2 linked regions of the Struthio camelus genome follow. The protein of the gene in region 1 purifies or fractionates together with the protein of each later gene. This does not show direct contact. Links are inferred from orthologs where the notes say so. Each region holds a gene or a part of one and is shown on either strand. Other genes may lie near its edges.

What was found. Proteins that work in one complex are often made in the same cells at the same time.
Region 2: the proteins of CD9 (region 1) and ITGA6 purify together in Homo sapiens (co-immunoprecipitation; 3 studies listed by BioGRID and IntAct, with this or other methods). This does not show direct contact. The link is inferred for Struthio camelus from reciprocal best matches to the Homo sapiens genes CD9 and ITGA6.

What each region holds. Positions count from the first base shown.
Region 1 is NC_090942.1:83,042,611-83,049,616, forward strand, and holds the start of CD9 (CD9 antigen), read right to left. Parts: upstream 3,088-7,006; 5' UTR 2,832-3,087; coding exon 2,766-2,831; intron 1-2,765. UniProt on the Homo sapiens protein: Integral membrane protein associated with integrins, which regulates different processes, such as sperm-egg fusion, platelet activation and aggregation, and cell adhesion.
Region 2 is NC_090947.1:22,649,635-22,657,543, forward strand, and holds the start of ITGA6 (integrin alpha-6), read right to left. Parts: upstream 3,019-7,909; 5' UTR 2,929-3,018; coding exon 2,768-2,928; intron 1-2,767. UniProt on the Homo sapiens protein: Integrin alpha-6/beta-1 (ITGA6:ITGB1) is a receptor for laminin on platelets. Integrin alpha-6/beta-1 (ITGA6:ITGB1) is present in oocytes and is involved in sperm-egg fusion.

The DNA of each region.
Region 1 (7,006 bases):
AAAACCTGTTTGCAGAAGCCTAACAGTTTAAAAGAATCTAAGATATCCTCTATAGATAAATAAAACAGAGGTATGAGGTTCACTTTAACATTGCACTTGAAAAGCCCCTTCAGTAGTTTCTGTAAAGCACATACATACATGTAATGAGCCCTGAAAACCAAGGACTACTACTGTAAGTCACAGCTGCTCTACATATGTATTTATCCCTGAAAGATCCTAGGTGTTTTACATTTATTATCTATTGATGTTTCCGCTGCTTGTCAGGATACTTAGAGGAACAAGTATTAATCCCCCTTTTATTACTCTTATGGGGCCTCTTTTTTGCCCTCTTCCTTTTTGCCCTGTTCTCATTCAGTTTAAGAAGCTAACACAGCCAGCGCAGCCCACCCGCTGCTGGGAGCAGCGGCCACTTTGCTCAAGGAAGAGCTTCAGCAACAGGTCTGCTCCACGGTCAAGCTGTTTTCTCAGGTTTCAACAAGGTTAAGTTTAGCACCTCATTGAGATAAATACAATATCAAAAGCTACACAGATTACTTGTATTTTTCTTATGTTTCAGGATAACAAACATGTACTTAAACTGCCTAAGTGACCTGGTATTTCAAAATTGATTACAGCAAAAGTAGCACTTGATTCAGCTGCAAGTACCAGCACCGCAAATTAATTTAGAAGTCTGAGAGATGACACTAAAGCTAAGACATGTTTACAACATGCAAGGCATCCAAAAGTTTCATCCAGTGCACTGTTAGATGGTTTTTCCCTTATCAGTCATCCTCCTCCAAATATGAGGACTTTCCTCTCCCAATACCTATTTAAAGTTTGGTGAGTCTAGGATGGAAATACTTTCTGTGTCCTTGTAAAGTTTCCCCATGCAAGTTCCCTTGCTTTCCCTCAACTGCAGCCTGAATCCATCTTCACACTCTACTGAAACCAATTTTTAGCTTAGGAGATCAGAGCACTTTATCCATTAACACTGTACCTGCAATCATCCCATGTGCAGCACTGCTACTGACCACAGAAGGATTTTCTTTACACAGCTCTAAACTCATTTCTCCATATTGCAGGGTAAGTGGGTGTAGAAAACACACACGCATACTGCATTTATCCCTGAAGGAGATAGCCTAGAGGAAAATAACTTAAAAAGGGGGGGGGGAGAGGGAGAAAGAGAACAACCCAAAAAACAACACACCCTCAAAACCCACCTGCTCCTAGAAGTAATTCCCTTTGAGCTCACACTTCACATCTAGAAGTTATGCATGCAGTGCTCTATTGCATTCCCTTTGGCCTTTTTCCACAAAGCAGACAATATTAAATTCAGATGTGGCCGCTTCTCAAAGTACTTGGGGAAACAGACAACTTCTTAATTATGCCATGCTTCCTGACATGGCATAGCTGACTAGAGGTAGCCATGCCAGAAACTACACTCAAGACAGCTTTCACTTGCTGTGTCGTGCTCTTCAGATTAAGCTATTTTAGGACTTTCTTTAGGAAATGTTTCCTACAAGATTCGAGGCAGCAGCTACAGCTTTAGCTGAAGTTCCCACCAAGACGAGTAAGACGATCATGATCACAAGCTCCAATTTGCACATAGCTAGTTCACCACCCCTTGCCATAGCCTGCTCACCTAAAAAGACTTCAGCTTTGCGAGCAAGTTAAACTCAAGGAGAGTTTCTGTGCAAGTGTTGTATATGCTGCTGCGAGGGAAAAAAAAACCCGAAAAACTACCTTCAACTGCCGCATTTCCCCCCCTCCGCCCTCCTCAGACACATCAACAGGGAGGATACACAGTCTGATAAAAGGATTTTCTGCCTATGGGTCTAGGAAGGGAAGTTTTAAAAGAGTAACGAGCTGGGTATGCATCTTATTCGAATGCCTCTTGCTGAACGTACCACGCTAGATATCATAACCGCAATATACACATCATATTATTGAGCACATGAGACACAGCAGCAGCTTCGCTAGATCCTCCTGCACTTCCACAGCCGCCCGGCCGCCTTTAATCGCGAGGCAGGGAAACTCCCCGGCCTTCGCCGCCACCTGACTGCGTGGGCGTTTGTCTGCACCGCCGCCGCGGGCAGGTAACCAGCACCTGGCCGGCGGCCCGGCCCGGCCCGGCCCCTGGCAGCGGGGCTCACCGACGGCGCGGGGGCAGCGGCAGAGAGGCGCGCAGCGCGCCCCGGGGCGGCGGGCGGACCTGCCCCCGGAGCGGGAGGGAGAGCCGCCCGCGGGCGCGCCGCCAGCCCGCTGCCCGCCGCAGCCGCCGCGCCCGCGGGGCAAGACCCGGGGCGTCGAGGCGTCAAGGCGGCAGCAGCACCCCCCCACCCCTCCCCACACCGCTGCCCCGGCACCGGGCTGCGCGGCTCCGGGCGCACGCCGCGCCACGCCACACCAGGCCGCCGCTCGGGGAAAAACTTCGGCAGGGCGGGAGCGCAGGGAAACCCCCCCCACCCGGGGGGGGGGGGGAATGGGGAAAACACCTAGTTCTCTCAAGGCGAGGCGGGGGAGGGGAGGAATGAAATTCCCCTCCCTCCAGCCCTTGCACAGGGTCACCCCTCCTATCCCCCCCCCCCCCCGGACCCCATGGGCGCAAGGGGGAAGAGGCAGGCGACGCAGGGCAAACGGCTCCTTCCCAAGGGAAACACGTCGGGGCAAGGAGAAACCGGAGCCCCTTGCTCCGTGAGGCGAGCCCTGGGCGGGCAAACACCCCTTGTCCCGGGCACGCCGGAGGGCTCCGCGAGGCAGGGTCGGGCCGGGCGGGGGCCCCTTACCCAGAAAATGAAGTTGAAGCCGAAGAGCAGGTACTTGATGCACTTGGTGCCTCCTTTCACAGGCATCCTGCGGGCCGGCGGGGGAGAAGCAGCGAGCAGCAGCGGGGCTCCGAGCTGAGGACGGGGCGCAGCGCGGCTACTTTCCCACAGTGCCACTCCTTAAATCTGCCTCTCGCCAGGTCCCGCTCCGCTTCCCCTCCCCCGGCTCCCCTGCTCTTTAACCCGGCCCCCTCTCCTCCCTCTGCCCCTGCCTTTGCCCTCCCTCCCGGAGCATTTGGCCCTCCCTCCTTCCCTGCTGTGCATTTCGCCCTCCCTTGTCCACTCTCCGCCCTTTCACCTGCCTCTCCGGCTTGCTCTGCCCCGCCGGCACCTTTGCCAGCCCGCCGCTCCGCGCCCCGCGGTGCCCCCCGGTCCCGCGCTCCCGGCCCCGGGCTGCCGCCGCCGCCGCTGCTGCTGCCGCCCCCGCGCTGGGCTGCTGCGGGGCAGAGCGCAGGGCAGAGGAGTCAGGGGAAATAGTTCTCGCATCATCGAGAGTTGCTCTACCAGACAGTGATGAAACAAGGAAAGACGTGCAAAAAGTAGACGCATCCCTACGATACGCAGGCCAATACTTTGCCGATTCTTGCATGGATTTAGTTAAACAAACTTAAATGCCTCAGCCCAGCTTCAATGGGTAACTTTCTCATGCAGGATACACTTAACAACAAAGTTAACAGGTAAACTGCTTTAATCTCTCAAATACGTCTGTAAAAGTTATGAGCATGGAATTTAGAAAGATGAGGTTATACCAGCGAAGAAGATATGTTGCTGCCCGTCAACTGATCCACAGTAACTGTTTGTGCGTATGCCTTTATTTCACCCGGTTGTGAGACAAAACACATTAATGTAAATTTCAGTGGAGAAGTTCGCATTGATTTGAATTGGAAGTTCAGCCCTCGGCATCTGATTCTTACTAGGGTAGTAATGAAAACTGAGGGCCCATATCTCAATTTGTCATTATTAAAGTAATGACAGAAGTTATTGAGAGTCAAAAAAAAAAAAAAAGCAGAACAGAAAAAAACAGAAAAGCCACTGAAATGCAAACAAAAACATGTTGATGCTTTTGTTGCCAAAATAAATGATAACGTGAAATACATTCCAGAGCTAATACAGTAGAGGAGGGATTGAATTGGACATCAGTTTTGCAGAGAAGGTTGCAAAATATTGATATGTTTCCATTAGAAAACAAGACAGAAAAATACATAGCTAGGAGAAATTCAGAGAGAGAGCGCATACAACTGTACATGGGGAAAGATGGCAGGCTGCTGCATTGTTGTTTGTGAATCAGGCTTGGCTGTAGCTAAGAACCAAAATGGCCCAAAGGCCCCAGTGTCCCAAGGTAGGATAGTGGGGAGCAGGGTCATGTTAAATGATGCCTTCTTAGCTTTCTGCTGCTCTGATTCAGGGCCTTTGATTAAAAGACCATGTAGTACAGAGGGTCACGACCTTGACCCCGAGAGAAGGACAAATACCACTTAACCCCTCACAAAACGCTACCTAAAGCATTTGGGTTTGTTATGGAGGTCAGTAACGGGCAAAGGAGAAGTAGAGGCTGGCCACAACGGTATAGATCCAGAAAGGCTGATATTAGTAAATGGAGGTGACTAAAGCTCTTCTCCAGGGGTAACTATGGACTAAACACAGATGGTCAGTGAACGTACTGTGTTTCATTCTCGACTGTGACTAATTTTCTATATCACTTTTAAAAATTTCTCCATTAATAATTTATGCCTCCTAGTCAATGTCAGTAATGTTCCTTTTCTTAACTTTCTAAAATTTTTGAGCGCTTTAGATAAAAAAAAACCCATGATATTATTAAGCTTTTCATGCTTACACTGTGTTAAAGCGGCTCCCATGAAAATCAGGGGTGGTAGGTACCTTTTCGATTAGAAGAAGAAATGGACCTGATGGATCAAAACATCCTGTGAGTTTGTACTTACTGAAATCCAAAGTTTCCCTGCTCACCCAGGAAATTAATTTATTAAAAGATGGAACTGATGTATTTGTTTTTAGTATGAATAGCAAGATACTGCTAGCAAACAGTGTGGGTTTTTTTGTGTTTATTTCCTGATTACTGATTAGGTTTCATGATCCAAATGGTTGGACTAAACTTGTAAGAAACTGTATACAGAGAGGGAAAAGCCCAATCTTTTGTCTTTACATCTTCAAAGTTATTAGCAATGCATTACTAAAAGGAGAGGTATGTTTTAGGGTTTGAATAAAAAACTGTAATGTAAGTGACATAAATTGAACTTAAGGATATGGAATGGAAAGAGTTAGAATCCATGCTTATCTCCTTTTTTTCTTTCTTTATGAGGGTAAGGAGAGGACATTCATATTTCAGCCTTTGAGCGTGTAGTTCTGCCATTACTCTCTGAAAGTAATCTGAACTTCTCTGAGCATTTTGGAATGAGATAGTAATCAATTGAATTTCTGTATAATAGAAATCACTGTTGGATATCTATGGCCATTATAAAATTATTTCGTAATGATTTGTTATTTTAAAAGCTTGTATTTACATGGGAGAACAGGCCAAGACAATTTGCACTACACATTTATTATCTGCACTTAAAATTATAATGGATGGTTAAAGTGTTATTTTCTCCTAGTGTATCAGAGAAGGGCAAATTCAGGACATTTCTGTCAAGGAGAAGTCCAAATTTACCAGAAGCTCTTTAAAATTACCTTTCTAATCATCTAGACAGGACGCTGACTTAGTTTTCATCTACAGATAACCCAAATTATTTTTTTCTATTTTAATTTGAAACTAAATTCAAATTAATTCTTGCTGTGCCACTAGTGAAAAAGTGTGTGCTTCTCACAGAAAAGCACCTTCTCCTCAGGCTGTGCTATCCAAAGAACTTTGATCCTTTGATTAATAGTGAGGGAAAACAGAAAGGGTTCCTTCGCCACCTGTATTAAAGGATACTGGAAACCACTAGTAAGTACTGCAGACGCGCACAGTCTTGCAGCCTCCTTGACCACTTTTCCCCCTATGTCTACCTTTGTGAATATATGGAAGGACTTGTGTCCGCTAACTCAATTCCTTTAATATTCTTTGCATAAACAGTTTCAGATTTTTTAACATGTTTCTTCCAGCTCCTTTCAACATCCAGGCACAGATGATTCTAACCACCGAGAGACAGACTGCAAAGCTTTCCTCAGTGAAGGATAGAGATTAACAGAGGTTCTTGAGAAGTGCAGAGCAGAGTAGAAAAATAATAACAATTTTCATCTTTGTAGAAAAATAACATCTCTTATTGTTCAAGCCAGTCACAAAAGAAAGAAAAAAAGGCCGTTTTGTTTGCCTTTTAACTTCAGTGAAATTTTTTTGCTTTGTAACTTGTGATTGTGGTACGCTCTGTCCAGGGCTGGAGGCAGCGATCAGGCGAGCAGAGGGGGCTGCACAACCGCACAGCTTCTCTGCTGTCATGTAGCTGAGAGTTTACAATGACCCAGACGACAGCAATGTAGGGATCTGCGGCCTCCTAATTCCTTTTACCCCTTGAAGTCCTGAGTACATCCATGTACCCCTCAGTTTAAGTATGTTAGTTCTTCTGATCTACTCCTTTCAGACAATTTTTAAAGATACTTATTTCTATTATTTTAAATGCTACAATAATTTGGAGTAGGGTGATACATGAGAGAGAGTTGTAACATGTAAGTTTTCCTGTTGGTTTTTCCCTTTGGGGCTGTGAGGGACAGAGGTTGGTCTTTGAGCTGGAGCATCAGGATTTTCATTTCATTGCAAAACTGGCTCATAGGATCAATCATCCTGGTAAGACAATGACAAAAACACTGTCCTTCTTTCACAGCTGAAGGAAAAGCGTTTGGACTTTGGTATCCATAGCAGCTTGCCTTCTGGATGACCTCATGCTCTTAGCAATTCTGTCCATCATGGAGGTTTGTCCGCCTTCTGACGTGAGAAAAGAGCTTTGAAGACTCCACAAAGCCCCATGAGATGTCATTAGAAATTGGGTCCTCCTCTACCACTGGAAGTATAGCTAGAAGTAAAGGCCTGAAGCCGGATAGATATTTAACTTTTCTGTTTTGCATACTTTTAAACTCAATTTTTAAAAGGAAGGTTTGAATAAGATTAGAAGAGATTTAGGCACATCTTTTCAAGTATTTAGTGCAAGACCTTTTGTGTATAATACATTAGGAGTCAGAATGTCAGGAGTGCAACTTGAAAATCTCTGTGC
Region 2 (7,909 bases), on another chromosome or scaffold:
AGAACCTTTTTGCTTAAGACTCACTTAAGCGATTTCAGAAAAAAAATTAAGGAGCATTTACCATTTTTTAACGAACCCTTGTTCAGAGTCAGACTAAAGCAGCCCTTGAACACAGTTCAGGTACTGCTACTTTTCTCATTTGCTTATTTACCCAAGGATGCTGTGATCTTGCACATGTCAGTTGCAACTCATTTCTGATTTTATAAAGTGCTTTAGGTTTTTTTTGGTTTGGTTTGGAATGACAGCCCCTGCCAGATGAGTACTGAAACGTCACTTTTAATTAAGTTTCAACAATGAAATGAGTTTTGAGTATTTTGGCAACTGTTTAACGGTGTTCACACTCAAACAGCTGTAACTGAGCTTTGCAGTTAGCATCCTCTCAAGAAGAAGGGTGAAATAATTATTTCTGCTGTTGCTATTGTATCATTCTAGTTGACTCAAGAGATAGGCAGACATAAAGTCACCTTTGCAACAGAGCTGGAACACAGACCAGAGGAACGCAGCTGGGAACGCACAGGTATTCCATCACTGAAAAGAAATCAGTAAAATTCCTGTTTTTACAGATAATATGCAACATGTAGGGATTAGATATACTTGTTTCTCAGTGAACCTCCATTCTCACCTTCACTGAAAGCCTAGATAGTAGACACTTCGTTCTACCTATAAGCAGTCAATCTATTTAGAAATCCAAATTCTTATCTGGTGAACCTGCCAAATAAGTTGCTCAGTATTAATTTAGCGTTGCTCATTTTTATCTGGTTGTTCACAAACACACAGCCTAACACGGGAGCCCTCATTTCAAGTTTCTCCATTAGAACTCCCATCTGTTTCATAAGACATAATTTACATGAAGGGAGCTTAACATACTCCTGTCCCAATGAAAGATACTTACACAGTTTCTACCAGGAAGGTGTCACACAAAACAGTTCAGCATGTTTAATGTCCTGTTCTCTCACAGGCACGCACTACTACTTTTATAGACAAAAAAAATAAACAAACAAAAAAACCTCAAACTCATTGTAACGTAGTTGTGCTATGTAAAAGAACTGAATGCAGGTTTTCCAAGACCCGCAGCAGCACTCAAATTATTAGGCAACCTTTCTTTGTGCTAAAACACACAAATAAGCCAAAAAAAAAGTCAAGATATCTCATGTTCAAAAGTATGTATCAGCACAGCATATAGTTTGTTAGTCTAGACTTGTCTCTGTTAGAGACCCTTGTTTCTCATGAAAGCCTAGATTCATAAAGCCGTATCAGTAACAGGGAGAGCATCTGTGCCCCTGGATCTGGATTGCCTTTGGGTACTGAAAATGCACTTACTATACATACAACACAGAACCTTCATGCTAATAACCATTGAAGCATTTCAGCCAAATGTTACAGACTTGCTTGAGCACTATGACCACTTTTCTACAATCTTCTGAGTAAACGGCTTTCCTTCTCTACATATTGGGATACACTCATTTTACCAGCATTTGACAGTACCATGGAATGCTAACGAGTTCAGATATCATTTTCTTAACAAAGTGAAGGCCAACATACATTTAATCCTACCAAGAATTATGATGCAGAATTCTGAAAAGGAATCACAGATGTGTGTGTATGTTGCCCTTTAGGATACCCTTCAGGACATTCTGTGTACTACAATAAAGATGGGATTTGGCTATTTGTGATTTATACTCTTTTACATATTATGATTTCTATGAAATCACATAGGATGCAAGTTCAGTCAAAACGAGTCCACAGAACTTTTAACTAAGTTTACTGACTAACTTTACTAAGAATACAATTTCTTTCTCACTTTCTTCTTCCATATGTTCTATTTAGATTATAGGCTCACCTTCCCTTAAATTAAAACAAAACATTAGCGGAGAGACGTTCGTTTCATGACAATACCTAATAAAGGACACACTCCATCAGCACTGTTGTGCAGGGTGGGGTCAGACATCCTGCTCAAATAGTCATGAACAGGCAAGGACTTCTCTGCTCTCCCAAAGATGTACAAAGAAGCCTTATTTTGCCTTTGGATTTTCCAGAGGGAGTTCCTGACTTTCACCCCCATGCTTCTAATTGATTTATTTTTCCTGTCTTCCTTATATTATCTCCCGCTTTCACTCCCAGGCAGGTTCGGTCTTGAACACTAGCGCTTGCATTACATAAAGCCAAGATATTGGTATGCGTTCACGTCGTGAAAGTGGTCGAGAAATGCAATTTCACTATTTTTTTTTGGGGGGGGGGGGTTGAGGGCCGACGACGACGACGACACAAACAACAAACAAAGTTTGTTGTTTTTTTTTTTTTTCCTAAAAGCTGCCCAGTCCAACCAGAGCCATCACCAAAGGCGAAAACAAAACCAGCAGCCCGCACGGGCACCCCGCGGCCCCGAGGGCACCTGCATGCTGGCGGGCGGCTCGGCGCTGCCCCCGGGGCCCGAGGCCGGCCTCAAACCCGCGCAGACCTCCCGCTGGGCCGGGCCGGGCCGGGCCGCACCGTGCCGCCCGGCCCGCAGCGGGGGGAAGAGGAGGAGGATTTTGCCTTATTTGCTCCTTTTCCTCCGCCAGGTCCTGCCCGGTTTCGGCGGCCGGCAGGTGCCCGCCCCGCCCCTCCGAGCGGCGGCTCCCCCTCCCCGAGCGCCCCGCCAGGGCGGGCGGCGGCCGGCAGCCCCGGCCCGCCGCGGGGGGACGGGACCGGCCCGCCCGCGAAGTTTCCAGACGGGAGGGAAGGGAGGGAGGGTCGCTGCCCAGTGGCGCGGCCGGGGGGCACTTACAGCCTCCTCTCCTGCGGCTGCAGCTGCCGGTGCATGGCCAGGGAGAAGCCGAAGAGGCTGCCCGCCTCGCCGTGCCGGCTGATCACGTTATCGGCGTCCAGGTTGAAGGCGCCGGCGAGGCACGGCAGCAGGGGCAGGCAGAAGAGGAGCGCGGCCGCCATCTGCTCCGGCCGCGGACGGGACCTGCCGCGCGCCGCCGCCGCTCCCCGCGCTGCGGCCGCCCGTTGTGCGCCGGCGGCCCGGCCCCGCTCGGCTCCGCCCCGGGGGAGGGGGGGCGGCCCCACCGCGGCCCCTCCTCCGGCCTCGCCGGCTGCCGCGGCTCTCCCACCGCGGAGCCCCGCGCCCCTCAGCGGCGGCGGGCAGGGCACAAAATGTCTCCCGGGTCCCCGCAGGGGCACAGCGCTTGCCTCACCCCCGCGGCGCGGGGGCGGCTCTGCGCATACCGCCTCGCTAGGGGCGGCGCAGGCCGCGCGCGCCCGCAGCCGTTACAACGGCCGCGGCAGGGGCCCGCCGGCCGCAGCCGTTACAACGGCCGGCGGCGCGACGCCGTCCCGCAGCAGGAGGAAGCTGGGCTCCGGGCAGCGCACGTACAGGTGTATCTAGTGTCTGGAGCCTGTCTTCCCCGAAGGCCACGTACACGAGAGGAATCAGTGCGTATATACCTGTTCTGAGGGCTTCAGAGAACGTGGAAGCAGAGGCTCAGCCTGCATGGCAGCCTTCTTTAAACTTCGTTCCTTCAAGCACTTCCACTCTTTGGAGATATCAGAGTTCTTTTACCCCTTCGCTTTGTTTGAAAGTAGTATGTGGTTTTACATCCCATATCATCTTATCTCGTGCTCCCCGCTCACCCCTGTAAGGATATTTGCAAGCACGCCTTAACAGTTTTATCCATCTGAGAGAGATTTATACCCATTTGTAACTATTTTAGCACTCTGGATTAGGAAACTGAAGGCAAGGTTTTTAAAACCTTACAGACGTTAAGCAGCGTGACAATACATTTTTCTTTTCCACGAATATCTAAATTGCGGAAAAAGAAGCCTCTCTTCACATACAAGAGTCCAGCAAAAGAGAGATGAGCAGCTGAGGCAGAGCACTCGCATCTGTTAATATTCCCAATAATTTATTCTGGAATAATATTACTATTTCACGGAGCTAATCCAGATTACTTTTTCCAGAGTAATTATTCTAGGATAGCTCCCTGTATAGGCAAGTCTTTGGCACAAGACCAAAACACCCTTGATCACAAGAACGGAGAAAATGCACCAAAAATGTGCATCTAATGCAGAAACAAAACATTTTGTTAAATTAGGCTCCTAGACATTCATTTCTAATAGTAGCCTTCCCTGCTTGCTCTTTGTGCCCAGCTCATTAAAAGTTTTAATCCAGCCTTCAATCACATTACAGTCATGGCAGTCTGCTGCCATGGCAGAAAACTGCACTGGCATAAACACTGCCCTGTGATTTCATTAAAGGACTCTTAAGAGGGAAGGGTCCTGGGCTAATTTCAAGAGAGTAGGCTCACTACTGTCTGTGTACTGTGCCGTAACTAGCAAAGATTTGAAAACAAGTCTTTTAAAATAGCGTTGATGGCTGTATCAAAGTCTTAGCAGTTTGCCCTTCAGGACCATTTAAACTTGCACGCTTATAATACTCTTACAGTAACTATAGTTACACTAGTACTTGCACCCAATAACTTTTGTAAGGAGTCACAGAAATACCGCGCTGTATCCAGAGCCATTTGAGTGATACTGGCACGTTAGGTTCATCTGACTTCTCCCCCTCCGTCTCTCCAACCAGCATTGCCTGGACTTGTTTTACTAGTTTGTTGTTATCCGTAGACGTTGCTGAGGCGTGAGAGAGTTTTCTCATCTCCAGATGCAGAAACAAGCATTCCAAAACATAGATATATTAAAACCTGTCTCAAGTGACCACAGCAGGAACAACAAAAATAGACAGTACGCAGGGTGGAGCAGAATCGCACACAAACAGCTTAGTTACCTTGGATGGTCTCTCACTGTTTTGTACTATTTTAATTTGCTCTAGATAAGGAGGAGGAAAGTTTGAAAAATCCCAATTTCCTTCCTTTGCTCTTCCAAAAAAAAAAAAAACAAACAAACAACCCACTGTGGGTTATCTATAACTAACACACTTCAGCAGTTCCTCTTTTGTACCATCCCGGTATAAAAGGGGACAAAGATTAGGTATGATGACCAATTAAATTTGACCACTGTACTATACATAATACTGTGGTGATTCTATGAAAAGTATTAGCCAGATCAAAGCTGAGTCTTTTTTTCTATAACAAATGCTTTGTAATAGCGGAGTTTTCAAGCTGTTTGCTTATTAATGGTATGTTGGTATTCTGCCAAAGGGCTACAAGGTGTTTGCCTGCTGTGTCTGCGTATTGAGCAAGCTTTAGTGCCAGTAATACTTTCCTCCTCTAGACAGCTGTGTAGTTAATTACCAAGCAAAAAAATAAGTTCTGGAAAATAGAAGAGGCGGGATGGAAAAGCTAGAGCTTTAAGGAAAGCCTAAAATGCCGTGCCAGAGAAGGAACAATGCTTTACATTTCTGAACTTTTCTCATTTATATGAAGAAAATACCTTATGCAAAGAAATACACAACTTGTGGATACTCAGCTGTGCAGCTTTAATGCAGCACATCAAATGGTTCTGAAAAGCAAAAGTATGTAAACATCTCCCTCACATTTAATTTAAAAAAATTGACCTTAAAATTGATAAAATTCCAGATGAAAAATTGAAATAGGCCAGAAAGGTTTGCTTCACTGTGCAAGTTCTAAAGCCATAAAGAGTTTCAGTTCAGAACCATAAACTACTTTTAAGTGTTATTAACCTGGATCACCTTCTGAATGCAACACACATACCATGTTTAGAACTGCTTGTTCTCCAAATTATTTACTTTTTCTGAATGGCTACATCTCATGAGCTACAATAAACAGTCAAGCTATTAGTCTTTCTTGCATCCGGGGCCATTGGGCTATTTTTGCTAGAACTTCCTTTACTGCTGTTCTCAGTTCTGTTTTAACAGTGATGTTAGGACTAGCAAACAGCAGTAGGAGAGGTAATGTGCTCAATAACAAATGCGCAAAGTGTTTTGCTCTGAACAGTTTAGAAGCCAGAGTGTTTAAATAGCTGTATTTGCACCGTTGGTGTTCTGAATTATGCAGAACTGACTCTGGTCATATTTATATCATTTGTAAATAAATAAGGAGTGTCTCATCTCTCTTTCTTTACTATATTTTCAAAAAGATTCCTAAAATGCAACTTTTTCTACCTGTTGCTTTATTGTTTTAATCAGATGACTTTCAGTTCCAAATTAAGATATTGCTGTTTTTATAACTTATTTTTCTTTTGAATGTACAGAACTATAGACATCGTTCTGTCATTCTTTACGGGTTTACAAAGTAAAAACATTTTGCCTCTATAGATAGATTATTTAGAATTTGACGTGATATTTCTGATTTGAAATCCTTAAGGACTGCATGTCTGGACTTCTAACAATTTGTGTCATGATTTTAACATGTTTATATACAATATGTAAAATATTATACACACAAAAATCTGAGATGAAAGAAGAATTTCTGTCCAGACTCCAAATTGTTCTACATCAGCTCCCAATTTTCCAGAGTACCAGTTTCTTTAAGTCTTCTACAACCAGAGAATATTTTTCCACTGAAGTTGTCAGTCACATTCCTTAAGTAGTTTTAGAATAGCTAGCGCAAACTGTTTGGAGAGTAAACATCCTTGCAAACACGCTTGGAGCAGGCACTTTTTCTGAGTGTAGCTACGCAGAGATGAGAGAAATGCTGGTAGCAAATGGAAACTAAACAATACTTTGGATTGCTGTAGAAAGAATTAAGGATGTTCCTTCAAGAAGTACTGAGGCCTAAAACTGCAGTCATTTTGAGCATATGCCTACATATTCTAACGCACTGGCCACATACACAGCTGCATAAGATCCCCCTCCATAAGGGCAGCCTAAGCTTAAACAACCTTACACACATCAAAGGCACCTTTGGTGAGAGAGCCCGTTTTGGGTCTCTCTCAGCAAGGCACGTATCCCACAATCTCTTGCATCGTCGCTGGAGAGACTTTTAGCACTGTGCCCACTACCTGTCTATACCATGCATGCCCCTTGATCTACAACACTGTGCTACACACAAAACCTTGCTTCAGCTTGCTTTTGCCATTATTCACTAGGGCCTCCTTGCAAAAAGAGAGAGGCATAACCCAACACCAGATGCACACTTTCGGGCAATGAATCTACTCAGCTCTCCCTCAACGTCTATCTACGTGCAGGCCTTGCAGCCTATCTGGCCCAAAGCAGCCAGCCGTTGCTCCAACTGGCCCTGCCCTCGCAGTCAAAATGCCTTCTTGATGCTTGGTGTCAGTCTTCTTACTGCCAAGGCTACAGGACTATACCCTCTCTGTAAAGGAAACCTATAGATCTAGAGTCAACAGAGGTTACCTGTATTGGGTAACACGGCATAGGCTAGCAGAGGAGATTAAATAAGTAAAATCTTTCTTGGGTAGGTAACTGGGAGGAAGCTGGGGAGGAAAAGAGAAGGCTCGCAAGCAAGATAGTCATGGGATCTCTCTCTGGAAACTCTTCTCCAGGAAATCAGGAAGCAAGACGAGTCTTCAAGGGACATGTTTTAACTGCATCAGGAGTCAAATATAATCATTTTTCAGGACAAAATACTTTTGCTCTCCTAGCTCACACAGACTCTGGCTAAAGAGACTTTGGCTATCACCTAAAGCACATCTCAATACAATCTTGACACAACTTATCTCTAGGAACTGCACCACGTGCTGCACACACAGGACCTAGCCTTAGGACAGGATCTGCAAAGCCCAAGACCAAGGAGTACAGACAACTGAGGGATCTGGACTGTAGGTCATCATCTAGCTTACTGTAGTAGCACAGCACAGCTGGTACCCCCAACTCGCCTTGCTGCTTGGTCACTAGTACACTCATTGCACCTGCTCCCCATGAGGCTGTGGATCACACCCAGCTGCGAGGGCGACCAGCTGGCTGTTTGGCTGCCACAGAGGTGGTAAAGCCCAGTCAAGGAGAAGGAGTTTGCACAGAAGTTGCCAGAGATTGACAAGAACCATGGCG